Linked DNA regions of Bombyx mori. The protein of the gene in region 1 purifies or fractionates together with the protein of each later gene. This does not show direct contact. Links are inferred from orthologs where the notes say so. Each region holds a gene or a part of one and is shown in the gene's direction. Other genes may lie near its edges.

Region 1 (8,921 bases):
CATGCATAGTTATTTATTTTATAAAAATGTTGAAGCGGCCACTAAAAGGCTTCTTCGGAAAAAGAAAAAAGAGGGATGGAAAAGATTTTGTTCCAAGCTTTCGCCTGATTCGCCATCCTCCCTAATCTGGAAAAATATAAGAATGTTTAGATCTTCTTTTATAGCCCCATCTAGAAATTATACATCGCAAGAATGGATTAATCCTTTTTTGGACAATATCGCACCCACTATGGTTCCTAAGTTTGACCAATTGCCTTATACATACTCTTATATATCAGATAACTCTAATATTAATAATAACTTAGCGTGTTCATTTTCTTTGCCGGAACTTCAATTAGTATTGAACCGGTTATCAGACTCCACTCCAGGATGTGATGGTATTCCTTACTCTTTCTTAATTAATTCAAAACCTATAACCCTATCATATTTACTGAATTTAATTAATTCTATAATAGACACTGGTATAATACCTTCTTCCTGGAAACATCAAATTATAATACCTATATTAAAGCCTAACAAAGATTCAAATAATCCTTTATCTTATAGACCTGTAGCGTTATCATCTGTTTTGGTAAAATTAGCAGAACATTTAATTAAACAAAGATTTGAGTGGTACGTAGAACATAACAATCTTTTGCCTTGCTCTCAATATGGGTTCAGAAGAGGTAAAGGTGTGTCCGATAGCCATGCCATTTTTGCAACAGACATTTTTTTGTCTTTTTCGAAATCTGAATCGGTTGTGGGAGCCTTTTTAGATATTCAAAGCGCGTATGATAATGTAAACTTAATTAAATTAAAAGAAAAAATGTCGGATTTAAAATTACCATTAAAATTTATTGATTTCATTTTTAATTTATATACTGGAAGGACTATTTCTTTACATATACCTGGTTTTGAGGACAAAATAAGAAAAGTTTGGAAAGGTATCCCTCAGGGTTCTGTTCTAAGTCCTCTATTATATGACATTTATACTTTCGATCTCCATTTAAATGTTGATCCTTCCTGTTCCATCTTACAATATGCAGATGATGTCTTAGTTTACTCTGCTAACCGTGATATTAAAATAGCAGCGGAAACTCTTAACGATTCATTAAACAAGTTATCATCCTGGCTCTCTGCCCAAAATCTTTCGTTATCTAAATCTAAAAGTCTCATAGTTGTTTTTACGCGGAAAAGAAAAGTTCCCACCGTAAATATTTCTGTTGATGGAGAACGAATACCAGTGGTTAAAGAGGCGAAATTTCTTGGTCGCATTTTTGATTCTAGTATGAACGGTAACGCTCATATCAACGACATTGTAAGAAAATGTGAGAAAAACATAAATATTATGAGAGCTGTAAGTGGCGTTTGGTGGGGGTCTCATCCTGGTGTACTTAGGTTAATGTATAATGCTTTGGTACGTAGTATATTAGACTTTGGCTCCATAACTTTTTGTCTTGAAAACAAAGAACCTCTACATAAATTAGATTTATTACAACATAAAAGTCTCAGGATCGTTATTGGAGCCATGAATAGTACTCCAATAAATGCTTTACAAATAGAATGCTCTGAACCGCCGCTATCTTTGCGTAGACAATACCTTTCTGATAGATTTATATTTAAAATTCAACAATATCATGGACACCCTTTAATTTTAAAACTACAAAATCTTTGTGAAGTTATTAATGGACGAAATGCTTTCTGGCGTAACAGGAAAATCCCTTACTTAGTTTCTAGCTATAGAAGATTTTTAGAACTACGTTGTTCAATTCATAAATTTCAATGCCACTCAACTTTTTCATATGATTACGAGACTTTAATGTTTGTACCCGATATCAAGTTATCAATAGATGATATCCAAAAAGGATCAAGCTCGGCAAACTCAAAATTAGCCTCCTTTATTAAAAACTTAGAACCTAAATCGGAAGATTTCTATACTGACGCGTCTAAATCCGTTTCCTCGGATGAAAAAAGCGTAGGAGCTGCTTTCTTAAGACTCTCGTCAGGTCATTTTCGTCTTTATAAATATCCACATCTTTCTTCAAACTTTGTTGGAGAAGGCATGGCTGTCCTTGAATGTGTCAAATATATAATTTGCAATAAAATAGAGAATTCATATATATTTTCTGATTCATTGAGCTTTCTTCAGTCTCTTTTATCAAATCCATTTAAAAAGAAACCTCCTTGTCCGCTTTCTCTTGAGGTTAAACTTAAATTAAAAGAATGTCATGATTCAAATTTACGAGTCACATTAGCATGGATTCCTGGCCATTCGGGCATCCAAGGAAATGAATTGGTAGATGATTTAGCTGCTATGGCCGCAAGGCAGGGTAATACATATATTGACAAAGTGTATACTCAAGACCTACTAGAAAAGCCTCGGGAGTATCTTTTAAAAGATTGGAACTCCCAGTGGGAAAAGTCTTGTTTATCAAAAGGTGGACGATATCGTCGTCTTCATATCAAAATTAATTTAAAACCTTGGTTTTCTAAGTTTCATTTCCCAAAAAAAGTAACATCTACCATATCGAGATTAAGATTTGGCCATTGTAGTTTACCCAGTCATTTATCGAGAATTGGTGTCGTTGACTCAGATGCTTGTGAACATTGCAATACCAATGGAAACATCGAACATACATTATTTGAATGTGTCAAATACAAATCCAAACCACTTTATGAATTCCTTATAAAATTTCGTGCTCCTCTCCCTTGTGACTCCTACACTATACTTTCCTTTGTTGATTTCAAATATACTAAAGCTCTTATTTCTTTTCTAACCTTCCATAATATTTTATTATAATATCTTTTCTTCTTTACATTACTATATTTTACTATATGTATATATTGCCCTAGTTCCTCCTATACCGCCTATTTCTAAAGTCCCTGCTCCTATCCCTCTACACTGGAATATCATGGCAACTCGACACCTCAAGATGAAGTTACTATGTCGCCTTTGGCTGACTCGACTCTGGCTAAAATAAGCTTCCGAATGAAGTTTGATCGCCATATTGAAGAAAAAAAAAAAAAAAATCTCATAAATATTTAATAGTGATTGCCAATTAATTAAAAGTGTAATAACAACATCGAATACGACCAATATGTCGAGCAAACCAGGATTCGAAGAACTCCGCACGAAATACAAAGTAAGATACGGTTATTAACCTACAAAAATATTTGAAATTGAAATCGACAAAATTTTTGAAAAACACTCATTGATTTCAGGATGTACTTTCTAAAGCCTTTGCAACGAACAACATTGACCTCATCGATTCTTTTTCCAAAAACACTGACGAAACTGACAGAAAAGCAGCTATGGACCAAGCATTTAGGGATAAGCTACTTGAATTACTTACTGAGGATCATAACACTCTTGAAAATTTTGTATCGTTCTGCATAGAATCATGCAGGCGACTTATGGTTACGCCAACAATGCCTGTTGTATTACTTGGCGATATCTTTGACGCCCTCACACTAAATAAATGTGAACAATTATTCTCATACATTGAAAAAGGTGTCAGTATATGGAAGGAAGAACTATTTTTCGTGGCATGCAAAAATAATTTATTGAGAATGTGTAATGATTTATTAAGAAGACTTTCTCGATCTCAAAATACAGTTTTCTGTGGACGTATTCTACTTTTTTTGGCAAAATTCTTTCCATTCTCTGAACGCTCCGGTCTTAATATAGTCTCTGAATTCAATTTAGAAAATATAACGGAATTTGGTGTTGATAATTCAAGTACACTGAAAGATGCTTTGGAAGAAGAAATGGTTATTGATAATGAAAAACATAAACTGACTATAGATTACAATTTATACTGTAGATTCTGGAGTTTGCAAGAATTCTTCAGAAATCCTAATACTTGTTACAATAAACTCCAGTGGAAGACCTTTGTTGCAGTAAGTTTATTTTTATTTATTGAATTCTTATCTGCATTTTTATTTGTGGACTGTACTGTAATCCTCCACTAATGTTCTAAATTGTAAAACAAAACAGTAACTATTCATTATTTTTAATCTATGATTTTACTCCCATGCTGGAAACAGATAAGACAAAAATCCCATAACTGTAAAAAATCTGACACAACCAAGCTACAGAAAACAGACTTAACAAAAATATTTAGAACTTCTCACTACTTCTGTTTTGATCTATTATTCTCAATGCCCAAATTTTCATGTTACTCTAAGAGCAGTAGCCAGCCAGCAGCTGATTCACTTCTGTAATTATTGCTCACCATGTGATTTTCTCTTTTAAGTCACTCAAGCTTAAACCATAAAGACTTTAGAGACATTGGTTATGATCTTTCATATATGTCTCAGTCAACGCTAGCCTTCTACATATACAGACAGACTTGGGTCATTTTGCTATCATCAATCAAATTAAAATATGATTTCTTGATGTTTTCAGCACTCTGGTAGTGTATTGTCCGCATTCTCATCCTACAAGCTAGAGACAGTTGAGCTGCAGAAATCTAAAATGAATCGATTGAAGCCATTGACTGACGTGGAAATGCAGGGTCAAGGCAAAGAGCAGCATTACTTTGCAAAATTTCTAACCAATCAGAAATTGTTAGAGTTGCAATTATCAGATTCGAACTTCAGAAGATGCGTCCTCATACAGTTTCTAATACTGTTTCAGTATCTGATGTCAACTGTTAAGTTCAAAACGTATGTACTGTAAGCGTATCGCAAATTATTATTTAGAGTCTTTGTAATTATAAAAGAAGTAATATGAATTATTTTTCTCAAATAATGAAATGAATCTCCGTTTGTTGAATGAAAAATCCAATATATTCAGGTTTCAAAAACTAAGGATACCAAATTGAACACTAATTTACTGTGTGTTGGTTCCAATTGTAACTAGTTTTCAAAAAACTAATGCTGATATAGCCTTTCAAGGCTATCAGCTTAGGTAGAAAACAAAAATCTTTGCCATTTTGTAAGCAACTTATCTGTTTTACTCTAGAGCCTATAATATATATATATATATTTTATTGCCCTTGTAGGCAGACGAGCATACGGCCCACCTGATGGTGAGTGGTTACCGTCGCCCATGAACTTCGGCAATGCCAGGGGCAGAGCCAAACCGCTGCCTCTAGATATAGACATGCTTATTTAAGGTAATATTTCCCGCTCTCTCTTTGACTACCAATGTGTAACTATCACGCTACATAATTGTTCCATTAGTTTTAGTTCCACTGATTACGAAATTTAGACTGATAATATTAGTATCAATATGTTTTCATTACAATACAATTCAGAGTAAATGCAGATGCAGCTTGTTGAATGAAATATTCTGTAATTTTCTTTTGGAATTTGAGACTTATCCAGGACTTGGTCCACCTGGTAGTAAGAAGTCACCTTCGTTCATAGACATCAGTTTGATTAGACACACACTAAAGACTTACCTCAATCTTCAAAAATTATAGACATCTTCTCGAGTCATATATGTGGGAATGTAAATGAACCACTATTGATTTTCTAGAGAAGCGCAGGAACTAAAATCTGACCAGTCTGATTGGATTAAAGATACAACCTCTCAGATTTATCGTTTGCTCGGTGAGACTCCACCGAATGGGAAGAAATTTGCGGAATGCGTTAAAAGCATACTAAAGCGAGAAGAACATTGGAACAACTGGAAAAATGATGGGTGTCCAGGTGAGAAACATTAGACACTTGTGGTGCTTGTGTCGTCAGTAATCTAATCTCGATACTAATTCGAAAAAATTATGTGTATCTATGTTTAGAGCAATTCTAAACATGAAGTTTTTATTACTATTTTTTGAATTCTGAAATAGAATAATAATTTTGACAACACAGTCATTGTAAATCAATCAACAATTCAGGTCGTATGTGCACGTATTGTAACTAATTAAAATAAAATAAAAATAACCTTCTCTCTGAATACATATTAATTATTGAAGCGACCAGCACAAAATACAGTCCACGCTCTACACATTGGTCCTTCGAACCGGAAATAATATAATAATATTATAATTCACATTTATACTGTGTTCATTTGTCCGTCCTTCACATAAAACTAAAGTAACGGATTGACATGATTTTTTCAAAAGTGATAGTGTTTGGTCAAGAGTGCTAGGCTACTATAGGCTACCATTTTTATCCCGAAAGAACATCTCATTCTCGTGCGAAACTACACTGACACCTTTACCTCCACCACACAGGCAAAGTCTGTAAAGCCTGTAACAGCCAGTGATCTATATAATTAAAAATCACTGTTTATGTGTTTGTCCTTTATGTATTTCCACCATTCACGTGGTTGTGGACTGTTTTTTTAGATTATACGAAAAGGTGATTCCATTTTTTTTGGAAATGTTTATTCTTGGGGCTTGTCTCGGTTCTGAAAGGGTTATTGCCAGAACATGATCAATGAATGCTCTGTGCTTGATGTAACGCGCTGTAAAAGGTTTACTAATAAGCTTTAATTTCTTATTTATTTTTAATTTATTTTTAAGAATATACATTTAAACAAACAAGATAGGATTTTATTTTATTATGTAACAGAAAGAAGGTTCTATGAAGAATGAAATAGATTAATAAAAATAAATACTTGTAGAATTTCAAAAACCCAAGCCACCGACACAATTGGACACCCCTGAAGATGTTAAGAAATCACGCAAAAGGCGTCGTCCGGTCGGCGATATTGTTAAGGAATACGAAGGACAGAAGAAATCCTATATGGGAAAGTGAGTATTATAATATCATTTATTTATTATAGTCATTTTATTGATTTCACGAACCAGAATTATTTTCAAATACGAAAACCTATAAGCGTACATGGCCCGATTGGTAAGACGCCTCGCGCACTTGTATACAGTGATGAGATTATGTTACTTTTCAAATTTTTAAACATGCCGGTGCCAGTATTTTCTTTAAGTAAATACTTAACATCACGAACTATTTCAATATATTTTTTTCCCTACCTATACTGATAGCCTTGAGAGGCTATTTCACCTTCTATAACGTGTAAGTGAGCTTACGGGGCTCAAACCGGAGTGATGCTAATACTGGCCCTAGCAAGAGCAGTGCTTCGCAGAATCTACCACCGAATCGGAAACGCGGCTCACTGAGAAGATCCGGCGGGAAACTCTGGGCTGTGTCTATGGGTTAATTCGCTCGTCGAGACCTTCGTCGCAAGCGACGGGTTCGGCGAGGACGGTGACCAGTGCTTGTGGTACCTAAAAGCACCGTTAATGGATCGGGAAGATCCGTAATGACGTGTTTTGGGCGTATTTCAATGATGTAACAATAACGGCGTGGATTTTATGAATTCGTTCGTAATTCGCGGTGGCAGAGAGAGAGAGAGCTTGTCAGCCCGTAAGGTTAGGTTTGCTATCCATTTCTGCCCCAAAACTTTGTGATGCTTCGATTCGTAAAGTGGAACAGTCGTATTGTAAATTTGAGACTTCGATCTGGTGTCTCGAGGTCTAAAGCGACATTCAAGTTAAAATGTTTATTGGCTAAAGTAATAGCTGTGTGCACATTATTGTCCCTCTATTGAAAGACAAAAAATATATTAAATCACAAACAGTACTATAAAGTATGTATGTATATATAGTACTAGTTGTACCCGTCCGCTTCGCTGGGCATTTCAAATTAACATTATTATTTCTCACCCCCACAAAGATTCTCATTATTAACGCCCCCGAAACTGGTGTAGGGAGTTCAACACTCATATAAATATTAGCCTGTCCATTAAGTACATGTATTTTCTACATGGATACCAAGTTTCAATTCAATCGGATGCATGGTTCAGTAGTTATAACGGAGTATCCGTAAAAACCACTGTAGATGTATAGATTATAGATTTTCTTGGGTAATCGTGATTCGTAGACATAACTGAATCTAATTTTCCGGTTTAACAACGAGTGTTTTTACTGTAATTATATCGAGGGGTGAAAGCTATTTAGTTTAAGCGACATTTCGCTTAATACGCGACATTTATCTTTGTAATTAAAGGTGCGTTTTATTTGGTATTACTACTATCAACAATTCGATGTTTTTTAATTATTTTTTTTTTATTTTTTTTATTGCCCTTGTAGGCAGACGAGCATACGGCCCACCTGATGGTGAGTGGTTACCGTCGCCCATGGACTTCAGCAATGCCAGGGGCAGAGCCAAGCCGCTGCCTACTGTGAATTGTGTAATTGAACTTCAATTAAATTTACCCCATTCCAATTGCTGAAGAAGTTTTTTTGTTATGATATATTTTTTCCAAATTTTAATCTTTAAAATGGCGATCGTAAAACTTAAATAGTTTTAATTGTAACCTTTTTATATTGACCTCTTCTGAGATCGCATCTCGACGAGCTGTGCCCGCAGAATTCTCTAGAATAAAATAAATAAATAATAGTTTAAAAAAATCTAACAAAATACGCTTTTATAGAAAAACCAACTAAAAATAGAAATTTTTTTTTAATGAATTTGAATTAAAAATAGTGTAAGAAAAAAATATTTTATCGTAAAAAAAGCGTGGGCTGCATGGTATCAGTAGTTATAAATATTTTATGAACAGGTATGAGCAGAATGGTTATTTTGATAATATTCTGAAAATCATGTTCAAAAATTCCGTTACAAACATACATACCTACATACGTCTGAAGCTAATAAAAGCGTATTAAAAATGTTAATCTATCAGAAAGAAGGAATCTTGTGGTGTTCTTAGTAACATTCGATCGAGATTCGTTTAAAAGCGTACGTGATTGCGCGGAAATATTTGCAACAAAAGCGTTGTTTCCTCAATACGGCTACAGTCCGAAGTGCAGCAAGTTCTATCAACACGTCGTTAATATCGCGTCCGCTTCGAGAGATGTTGTTTTCGATTGACCCATATTTGAAATTTACAAGAATTCTCCACGGGCTTGTGGACGTGATATCCGGACGTAAACTAATTATAGAAAACCCGAATTTTCAAATCGTAA
Region 2 (8,977 bases), on another chromosome or scaffold:
AGTCAGCCATTTTGTGTCAATTGATATGAACAATTGCAGGTAAACAGACGTAAATTCTACCATCAATTTGATTATTTCTATTATACTATTAGATGTGTTCTCATACCTTGCCAGCATAGCCAGCTTTCTGGATAGCATCCTGAATCAGATAAAGAGCATCCTTGTTGTTTTGTATGTTTGGAGCGAAACCACCTTCATCACCAACAGCCGTAGAGTCCAATCCAAACTTCTCCTTAATGATCTTTTTCAAATGGTGGTACACTTCTGAACCCATCCTCATGGCTTCACTGAAGGTGGATGCCCCTGTTAAAATGATATTTTCATTTTGAAGTCAATTTATTTACTTAATTTGGAACTGCATTATGATCAGCCCACAGTTTTCAATAGCTGTATATTGGCCTCTCCCCAGTTTTATTACTGAGACTGATCTTTGGCTTTCTTCATATCTTGACATGTTATTTTGGAACCAATGATTTTTTTATTGCGTAGATGGGTGAACTAGCTCACAGCCCAGCTGGTTTTAAGTGGTAAAATAACAACCTTGAGGCATTAGTTCTAAGTCTCAATTTATAGTATAATGGCTGCCCCACCTTACGAATAGAAATGCTTTACGCCTTCACGGCATATATAGCAGGAAGACTGGTGGTACCTATCCATTCTGACTTACAAGAAGTCCTACCACTAATAATTTAAAAAATTAAATTACCTGTAGGGAAAATCATGAATTCCTGCATGGCAAGTTTATTTCCAGCATGTGATCCTCCATTGATCACATTGAATGCTGGTACAGGTAGAACAATGTCATTATTTCCAGCCAAATCAGCCAAGTGCTTGTACAGCGGAACATTCTTCTTGGCAGCACCAGCCTTAGCAACAGCTAGGGAAACTCCAAGGATAGCATTAGCACCCAGTTTGGATTTGTTCTCAGTGCCATCCAACTTAAGCATGAGTTCATCAATCTGTTAATTTAAAAGGTTTACATAGCTGACATATACTTTTTTAAATATATTTAATATTATTTTTAAACTATTAAATACATTTCTTGTTAATATGAAAATCCTATCAATATTAATTCCACTTCAATTGAATGTTAATACCACACTCAAGTTTTTTTTGAGTCCTTTCGAAATATCTACTCTTGTTTGAGATTTAAAAATAATTACCTCTCTCTGTTGGGTTACTTCGAGGTTGGCTTTTGTAAGTTCAGGAGCAATGAGTTCATTGATATTTTTGATTGCGGTCAAAACTCCCTTGCCATGATATTCACTCTTGATGTTATCTCTTAGTTCAAGAGCTTCATGAACACCAGTGGATGCACCAGAGGGTACAGCTGCCCGGAACAAGCCAAGCTCTGTTACCTGTTCACAGAATTAAAAGGTACTTTACATTTTTCAAAGAATTTCAGTAATTTAGTTGTTGATAATTTGTAACAAAAAACTTACCAGATCAACTTCCACAGTAGGGTTGCCACGAGAGTCAAAGATTTGACGAGCCTTGATTGATTTTATTACCATTTTTAATACTGAACTAGACTTTCTAGAAAAAAAAAAATTTTTCATTTTATTTGGAGAGCACTGGCAGTAGTTTAGAAGTCATCATGCCCCATCAACATGGTTAAGACACTTAAAGTATACCGGTATATCTATCTTGATAAAAGGACAAATGACTTTGTCCAATTTACAAAAATAAAAGATGTGTAAAATTGATGGAAATTTTGAATTTTCATTTAGTTCAGAAAAAAACTTGCAATCTCAATCTCAAAAAACTAATTTTTAATAGATCCTAAAGGTTAAATCAATACAAAATTACTATTTTATTGTATTTCTATATAATGCTTAGTATATGTGAATTTTAGATTTGGCAATTTAGTTTCAATTTTTTCAGATATCTTTTTTGTTCATCTGTTGATAGAAATGTATGGGACAAGTCATTAAATTGAAAGTATGATTTAAACCCAGTGACCTCAGGATCATCAGCCCACAGAAATTTACTGCTGTATATAAGCAAGGTTTACCACAATGACTGGTCTTACATAGCCCACATCCAGCAATTTACGCAACCTTTAAAATCTTAGACATAGAACCACCGAGACCTAAAATACAACCACCAATTTCCCATTTAGGATCTTGACACTCTTATTTGCTTAATAAAACACCCCATTATTTCAACTTATTACTACTTCTGATTTCCAAAGCACACAGCCTAGTCACGAGACTTACCTTGAATACTGCAAAAAGATTTATTGTATCGATTGAGGGTATTAAAGGATTAATTCTATTACTTTTACTTCTATTGCTAACGCTAATCGAATGAGATGCGCCGGCAAGGTCAAACATAGGTTGTACAATCATAATTCCTACTTTAAAATATTTTTTGATTTAAAATGTTTATTACAAATTCATTGCGCTCACGGGGTTTAAGAATTAGTCATTTTCAACGGATACAATGAAATTTACGTAAAATTGGATGGCTAATGATCGGCATCTAATTTTTTTGTATTGAAAATTTTTGCACTACTCCACTTTTTTGTAATCCATACACATCATAATAATAATAAATTACAAACCTTAAATTAAGCGATATCCTTATTTAACAAAATTGCACCTTACAAGCCGGGTTTGGCAAAATATAAGGATTTGGTTGCTGGCGCGATTACAGCAGTGATATTTTTGACCTTCTCAAGGTGGAAAGCAAAAACAAATGTCCTTTGTTTTGTGTACTTAAAGAGGCAAAGGGATCATAGTCATTTTATATAAAATAAACTAGATAACTAATCAACTGGGATGAAATTAAATGAAATGAGATGATATGGGATGAAATATTTATGATCTCAGTAAAATGGTGGTCATTTACTGAGATTCTTTCAGTGGACTTTTTGGAGGATCCCGAGGAGTTACGTCTAGCGACTTTGTTTCATTTTCCCACATTTGTGCCCTTTCGCAAATACTAAACAGGTAATAAACCACCATTATCATACATTCAAACCTGAAGAAATACCAAATAGACAAAATAAAACATATCACACAGCTTCACTCCTCGCATTCCCGCCAAAAAGTCGAAATCTATGAGCTGAGAGATGCACACATAGATTATCACATAGGTAATATTTGAGGATGCTTAACTGACATTTACTGACATTTATGGAGAGTTGCTATTGCTGAGTAGACGTGCGCTAATCATGTTCGGAACTGGATTGAACATGACATCGTTCTTTTGAGTGTCGGAACTAGTTCCAGTAAACATGTTCGCGGAACTGTTTAGTTTCACGAACATGTTAAGTCTAGTAGCTGTTTGTAGTTTGTAGCTGTTTAGTTCCGCGGACATATTAAGTCTAGTAGCTGTTTGAAGCTGTTTAGTTCCGCGGACATGTTAAGTCTAGTAACTGTTTGTAGTGTAGCGAATCACGTATTAAGTTATTATTAATTACACAATATTTTTCAAAAAAGGTATTAAAAATACAATTTTTTAAAAGCACTATATAAAAATAGATTGCCGCTTATGGCAATTATTATTGTAATATTATTTTGTAAGGTTTTTAGTTTTAGGTTCATTGTTACAGCTGGTTGCATAATTTATTAATGTACTGTAATTACTTTGTCATAATTTCAACTACTCTACTACTTTCATTATTTTTCAATGTAGGTATTGTACGATGCACCGAAAACTATAACCTATCAGTTGTTAATTAAAATACCACGTTATTCTGATATACAACGTAAATTGAGCTCGTTGTAGCCTTACAACCTTTTTCCCATAACCGAGATACCGAATAGCGAAAGTGGTGAATGTTTTAAAATTCTCGAATTTTGAATTATGATTTTCTAAGAAATGGTCTACAAACACTTAAGGTTAAGTGCTCGTAGGAATGATGCATGGTCAAGGTCAAAATCCATAGCAAAACATTTTAATTTATTCAACTATCGACTGTAACACGTAGGTCGTAGAGCATAACTTCAATATTAATAAAAATGTAATATGAAAGAGCTCCACACGCAGTTTCATGCACTCGCTCCATCTCACTCTCTCGTATTCGTGCCATATGTCGCCTTATCTCTTTACGTGGACTCGTGTCGGTTCGAGACTCGTTCGGGTGGACTCGCCGCGCCACGCCTCCGCGCCGCGCGGTACCTATGCTCTAATCATGTCCGCATGTCCGTCATGTTCAACGCGTTCGTAGTTCCTGCATAACAGTACACTTGGAATGGAAATGGAACTGTCTGAACATGTTAATTTTGACAACTCGGATTGAATGATATAGTTCCATATGAGGACATAGTTCCAGGAACTATTTAGGTCCGGAACTACGCATGTCTATTGCTGAGTAGGTACAATAATGAAGTATAATTTAAAAAAAATCATAGTTAAAGACTACCTTTCAAATTAAAGGCTAACATTAAAAGAAAAATAATTCAAACATTACCGTGAACGATGCTAGTAAAAGCTTTAATATATAAAAACAAATCCAGTGAATAGAGTGAATAGGCAGTAAGGTTGTAATTGTCTGTTTAAATTAGTGATTTTTTTAAAGTTCCAGACTTGGATGAAATCTGATAAACTTGAATAAAACTAAACATGGGAAAAGAAGAAGTAACGGCTGTTAAGAAACGGCGCAAATTAAATACAAGTACATCAAATGACGGAACAAAGCCAGTTCCCGTTGATGTATACAAGGTATTGACCAAAATATATAAGATGTAACATAACCTCAAGACTCATTATTCTGTACCATAAATATGTATAATAATGTAAATTTAAGTACATAGTTCTACTAATAAATGAGAATTTATATTTGTGGCTCCTGGTTTAGCAAGCTGTTGCTTTTATATTTTCTGTTGAAGTTTTTGTTTCAGTTTTAACTTATTATTAACAAAAATAAAAATTAAGTGAATCCTGTTCGTGAAATATCTTGTGATCTTCAAAACAAGTTTAATATTAACACTTAGAGAAGTTGTAAACTGAACAAGATCCCAGTACACCAAAAAAATTGTCTTTATTTTTCAAGATTCTTCATTCATTACAAAATGTGTTTTAAATGGATTGTTCCAGCGTGTTGTTGAATTTGAAGAAGCTGAAGCTCATCTGCGTCCAGCTGATAAGGATGCTGCCTTTTTCAATAAAACATGCCAAGACATAAGGCAACTTTTTAAAGAGATTGCAGAGTTAAAAACTAAAGAAACATTGGAGGTATGCCACTTTTCAATTAATAGTTAATGCAGGACATAATAAGAGTCGGGTCCTACCTCGAGAACAGGATGGCCGTGTGCACCGGGCACTGTGGGGCGGTGCTCCATTTTCCCGTCGAGCGTGGTGTCCCACAGGGGTCGGTCCTTGGCCCTCTCTTGTGGAATGTCGGCTACGAACTGGGTCCTGCGGGGTGCCCTTAGCACTCCTCTCCCGGGTCTGAGCGTAGCTTGTTACACGGACGACACTTTGGTCGTTACCCGGGGGAGGGACATCTTTCCTGTGTATGGGTGGCCTTCGTCGTCTGCAGGAGTATCGCGTTCTGACCCGGCAGGCTGGTTCTGGTCCAGCTGGGTATCCCGGAACACCAGCGGCATCGCCCGGGCGGCCTGGCAGGGCTGTCGTACCGCGGAGACCGGCTTCGTTGTCGTCGACTGTCGCATTGAGGACTCGTCGATCCGGCGTCTTCAGGGTGGCGTCGCGTGTCTGGTTGTAGTGTTGACTACCAGATCGTAAAGTCCCACACCCCCCTAGACGCGGGGACCTCGTAGGAGGTTCGGCACCCGGCTCGACAAATAAAAAAAAAAAATGGACATGATTAGATTATATTATGAATTGTAATTAATGTTAAATAATATAAAATATGGAACAATGCAATTAAGGCAAAAGTTATAATTACAGGCTAAAGAAAAGATAAATGCAAAAAGAGTGGAAGCTTCATTACTGCTGGTTGCGTTAAAGAAATTAAATCGCCTGGAGAAAGTACGAACTAGAGCTGGTCGTGATGCGCTCCATAAAGAGAAACAGAGAGTTGATTCCACACATTTACTGTTACAAAATTTACTTTACGAAGCAGATCACTTAAACAAAGAAGTAACTAAATGTTTACAATTCAAATCTAAAGATGAAGAAATAGATCTTGTGCCTCTTGAAGAATTCTATAAAAATGCACCTCCTGATATTATTAGATCAGTAAGTATGTTTTCACAGTGTGTAACTGATATCTGAATGTACATATTTTAACCGTTTCAGCTCTGAATATTTTTTTAGTTTTGTCCCTAAAATGCTGTAGGTAGCTAAAATCCTGAATTTCTTTTAAATATTGAAGCCAAACTTGAATTGCAATAATATAAACAGTTCAAAACATATACATGCACTCAGGACCAAGAGCTTACCTAAGTTTTTGGGCGATAGCATTGCATCCCAATTGTCATTTTATACATTAAAGCGCTATCGTGCTGAGTAGCATCATAACGGTTAGTAGAAAGTTAGGCATGACAGAAGTATGACTGCTTTTAATCTGTCCTGGTGAGGGTGCCAGTCATATGATTCACATTGTTTCCCCTTACAAATATACATATGACATATTCCACACATATCTCAGACACTTGATACTGAGTACTTGTAACTTTGATACTGATCAGATGAGTTGTTGCAGTAATGGTACTGACAAATTCAACAATATGACAATGTGTAAAATTTTAGGAGGTCACAAAGGCTGATGAACATCAATTACAATTAGCCCGACTGGAGTGGGAGTTACGTCAACGTCGTGAATTATCTGAAGCCTGTAATGAACTCATATCTTCCAAGGAACGAGTAGCAGCTGCCATTGCTGCTGCACGTTCTAGACTTGATGCATTGGCTCCACATCTGAAAGATGTCTTGAAATCCACTAAACCTTTGCAAGAATGTCTTGCTCTACGCTTGGATGAAAAACGTGATGAAGCCAGGGCCGCAAGCTTGCTTCCAGCATCACTATTCCTACTATTTAAAAATGCAAACGCATATTCTGATATTTTAGGAAGCAAAGTTATTAGTGTTGGTAAGCAATTTCAAAGCTCAAAATATTCATTGCATCTTAAAGTTCATAGATTTACATACCCAATTCAGCAGAGCAAAGGGTAAACAGTCGTCCTAAACACGCCATTTCGGATCCCCCGATCCACTATCGGTGCAGTTAGGTACCCCATGCATCGGTCATCGTTCTCGTCAAACCCGTCGCTTGCGACAAAGAGCTTACGGAGCAAATTAACCCTAAGACACAGCCCACTGAGTTTCTCGCCGGATCTTTTCAATAGGTCGCGTTTCCGATCCGGTGGTAGACAGCGAAGCAGGCCTGCTAGGGCTAGTGTTGGAAAACTCCTTAGGATAAAGTCCCATGAGCTCACCTTTTTTTTTTTTAACGCTGGGGAATCCATTTACGGATACCCGGTCGATGGGGGTAAGAGACCGGGTTATGTCGGACTCCGGCGCCTCCAGAGAAGAACAGGAAGAAGAAGAAGACAGGGGTCCTCCTCTTCTCCCAATTCCTGCCGGGAGATTACGCCTTGGGAAAGGCGCGCGAGGCACTGCACGGCGTCAGCCACGCAAGAGCTACCCCGCAAAACCGACTACCGACTAAACCCCATCGAGCCCCACCACTCCGACTCCACGAAACCCACGGTACCGCTCAGTGCGCGCCGAAGGGTCGCCGTCCCATGAGCTCACTTAGTCGCCCGGCGAAGCTGGCATACCACCGCGAGGCTACCAGCATATGAAGAAAAAAATCTTAATAGAATTAAAGTTTTTGCTTATAATATAATACCCACTCAAACGTATTTTTTTATTTAGAAAAAAATATATGTACATGTATTTCATATTGTAGGTGTTTGCGGTGATGAAGATGAAGCTCGCCGGCATGATCAAAACAATGTTGAAAATGATATTATTTCATCAAATGAGTCAGATTCAGATCAAGAAAATAATGATGAAGATCAACAAACCAAAAAGAAACGACATCACAGAACTAAAAACGTATCTAAAGAAGACAAAGCAGAAGCTAAAATAAAACGAGTATTCAAGAAACATCCTTTAAATGTACAAGTTTCAGTTAAAGCAGAAGATGGTACTGCATTGAATCTCATATTATCATACCTCATAAACTTGAAAATTATAGTTGTGAAGTTTACTGTATCGCTACCCAAACCTGTCACTGGTGTATCTGCTGCTGATGTTCTAAATGGACATTCTATTTTAAATGAACTGTACCCAGGGGATACGGGAGATGATTCACCCCACCCTGCAACTTCTTATTTACTAAAAAATGCAGGTATATCGGAAAGCTTTTCTTATTTCATACCAGAAATTGGACGCCCATACGTTTGGGCACAAAGAATGTGTGGAATTGATTTTATGACTTCAGAATTGAATGAGCAATCTGTTAGAAGAGCTGTTGAACCGTGTCCTAATCTCAGTGTCGCCACTGTTGAAAATTTTATCATGACATTGAAAAAGAGACTAAAATGTAGAGTAAAACTTATGCATGAGCTACAAGATCTAGAATCAGGAAAGATTTCACCACCAAAAGGAAGCTTGCCTCCTTCTATGCGTCTAGCAGGTTCTTTGACTCAGTGGCAGTCTGTTGGTTGGCCTGAATACAGTCAGGCTCCATCAACAGCTTTTCTTGTAACTGAAGGTTTAGTATCTGCAAATGATTTACTTTATAGAGCGATAATTACCAGACAATCAGCTAAGTTGGTGGCTTTAGTTGCCCTCAGAAGCGATTATCCTAAGAGCGTGCCAATATTTTCTCTAACTTTACACTGGAATGGCACTCATCACGCAGGTATTAATGATGATATCCGGGATATTGAAAGAGTCGTAAATACTGAGATAGGTTTAGAGGAACGCAAGCACTGCACCCTTTCTACTCAAATAACAAAATTATTAGCCTGTCTTGATATTCTATTGGAAACAAGCGATTCCCCAGAATTTCCACCAGACAAAGTTATACTTCATCCAGTTAGAGGACGTA

Evidence for each region.
Region 2: the proteins of THO complex subunit 1 (region 1) and THO complex subunit 5 homolog purify together in Drosophila melanogaster (affinity purification with western blotting; 5 studies listed by BioGRID, with this or other methods). This does not show direct contact. The link is inferred for Bombyx mori from reciprocal best matches to the Drosophila melanogaster genes Hpr1 and thoc5.

The regions. Positions count from the first base shown.
Region 1 is NC_085117.1:15,873,509-15,882,429, reverse strand, and holds part of THO complex subunit 1, read left to right. Parts: 5' UTR 1-3,077; coding exon 3,078-3,122; intron 3,123-3,201; coding exon 3,202-3,879; intron 3,880-4,387; coding exon 4,388-4,647; intron 4,648-5,464; coding exon 5,465-5,637; intron 5,638-6,556; coding exon 6,557-6,686; intron 6,687-8,921.
Region 2 is NC_085114.1:10,647,170-10,656,146, reverse strand, and holds the start of THO complex subunit 5 homolog, read left to right. Parts: upstream 1-3,093; 5' UTR 3,094-3,161; intron 3,162-3,180; exon of another isoform or gene 3,181-3,446; intron 3,447-3,823; exon of another isoform or gene 3,824-4,434; intron 4,435-4,514; exon of another isoform or gene 4,515-4,528; 5' UTR 4,529-4,572; coding exon 4,573-4,671; intron 4,672-5,046; coding exon 5,047-5,184; intron 5,185-5,862; coding exon 5,863-6,153; intron 6,154-6,666; coding exon 6,667-7,006; intron 7,007-7,828; coding exon 7,829-8,977. UniProt on the Drosophila melanogaster protein: The THO complex is required for cell proliferation and for proper export of heat-shock mRNAs under heat stress.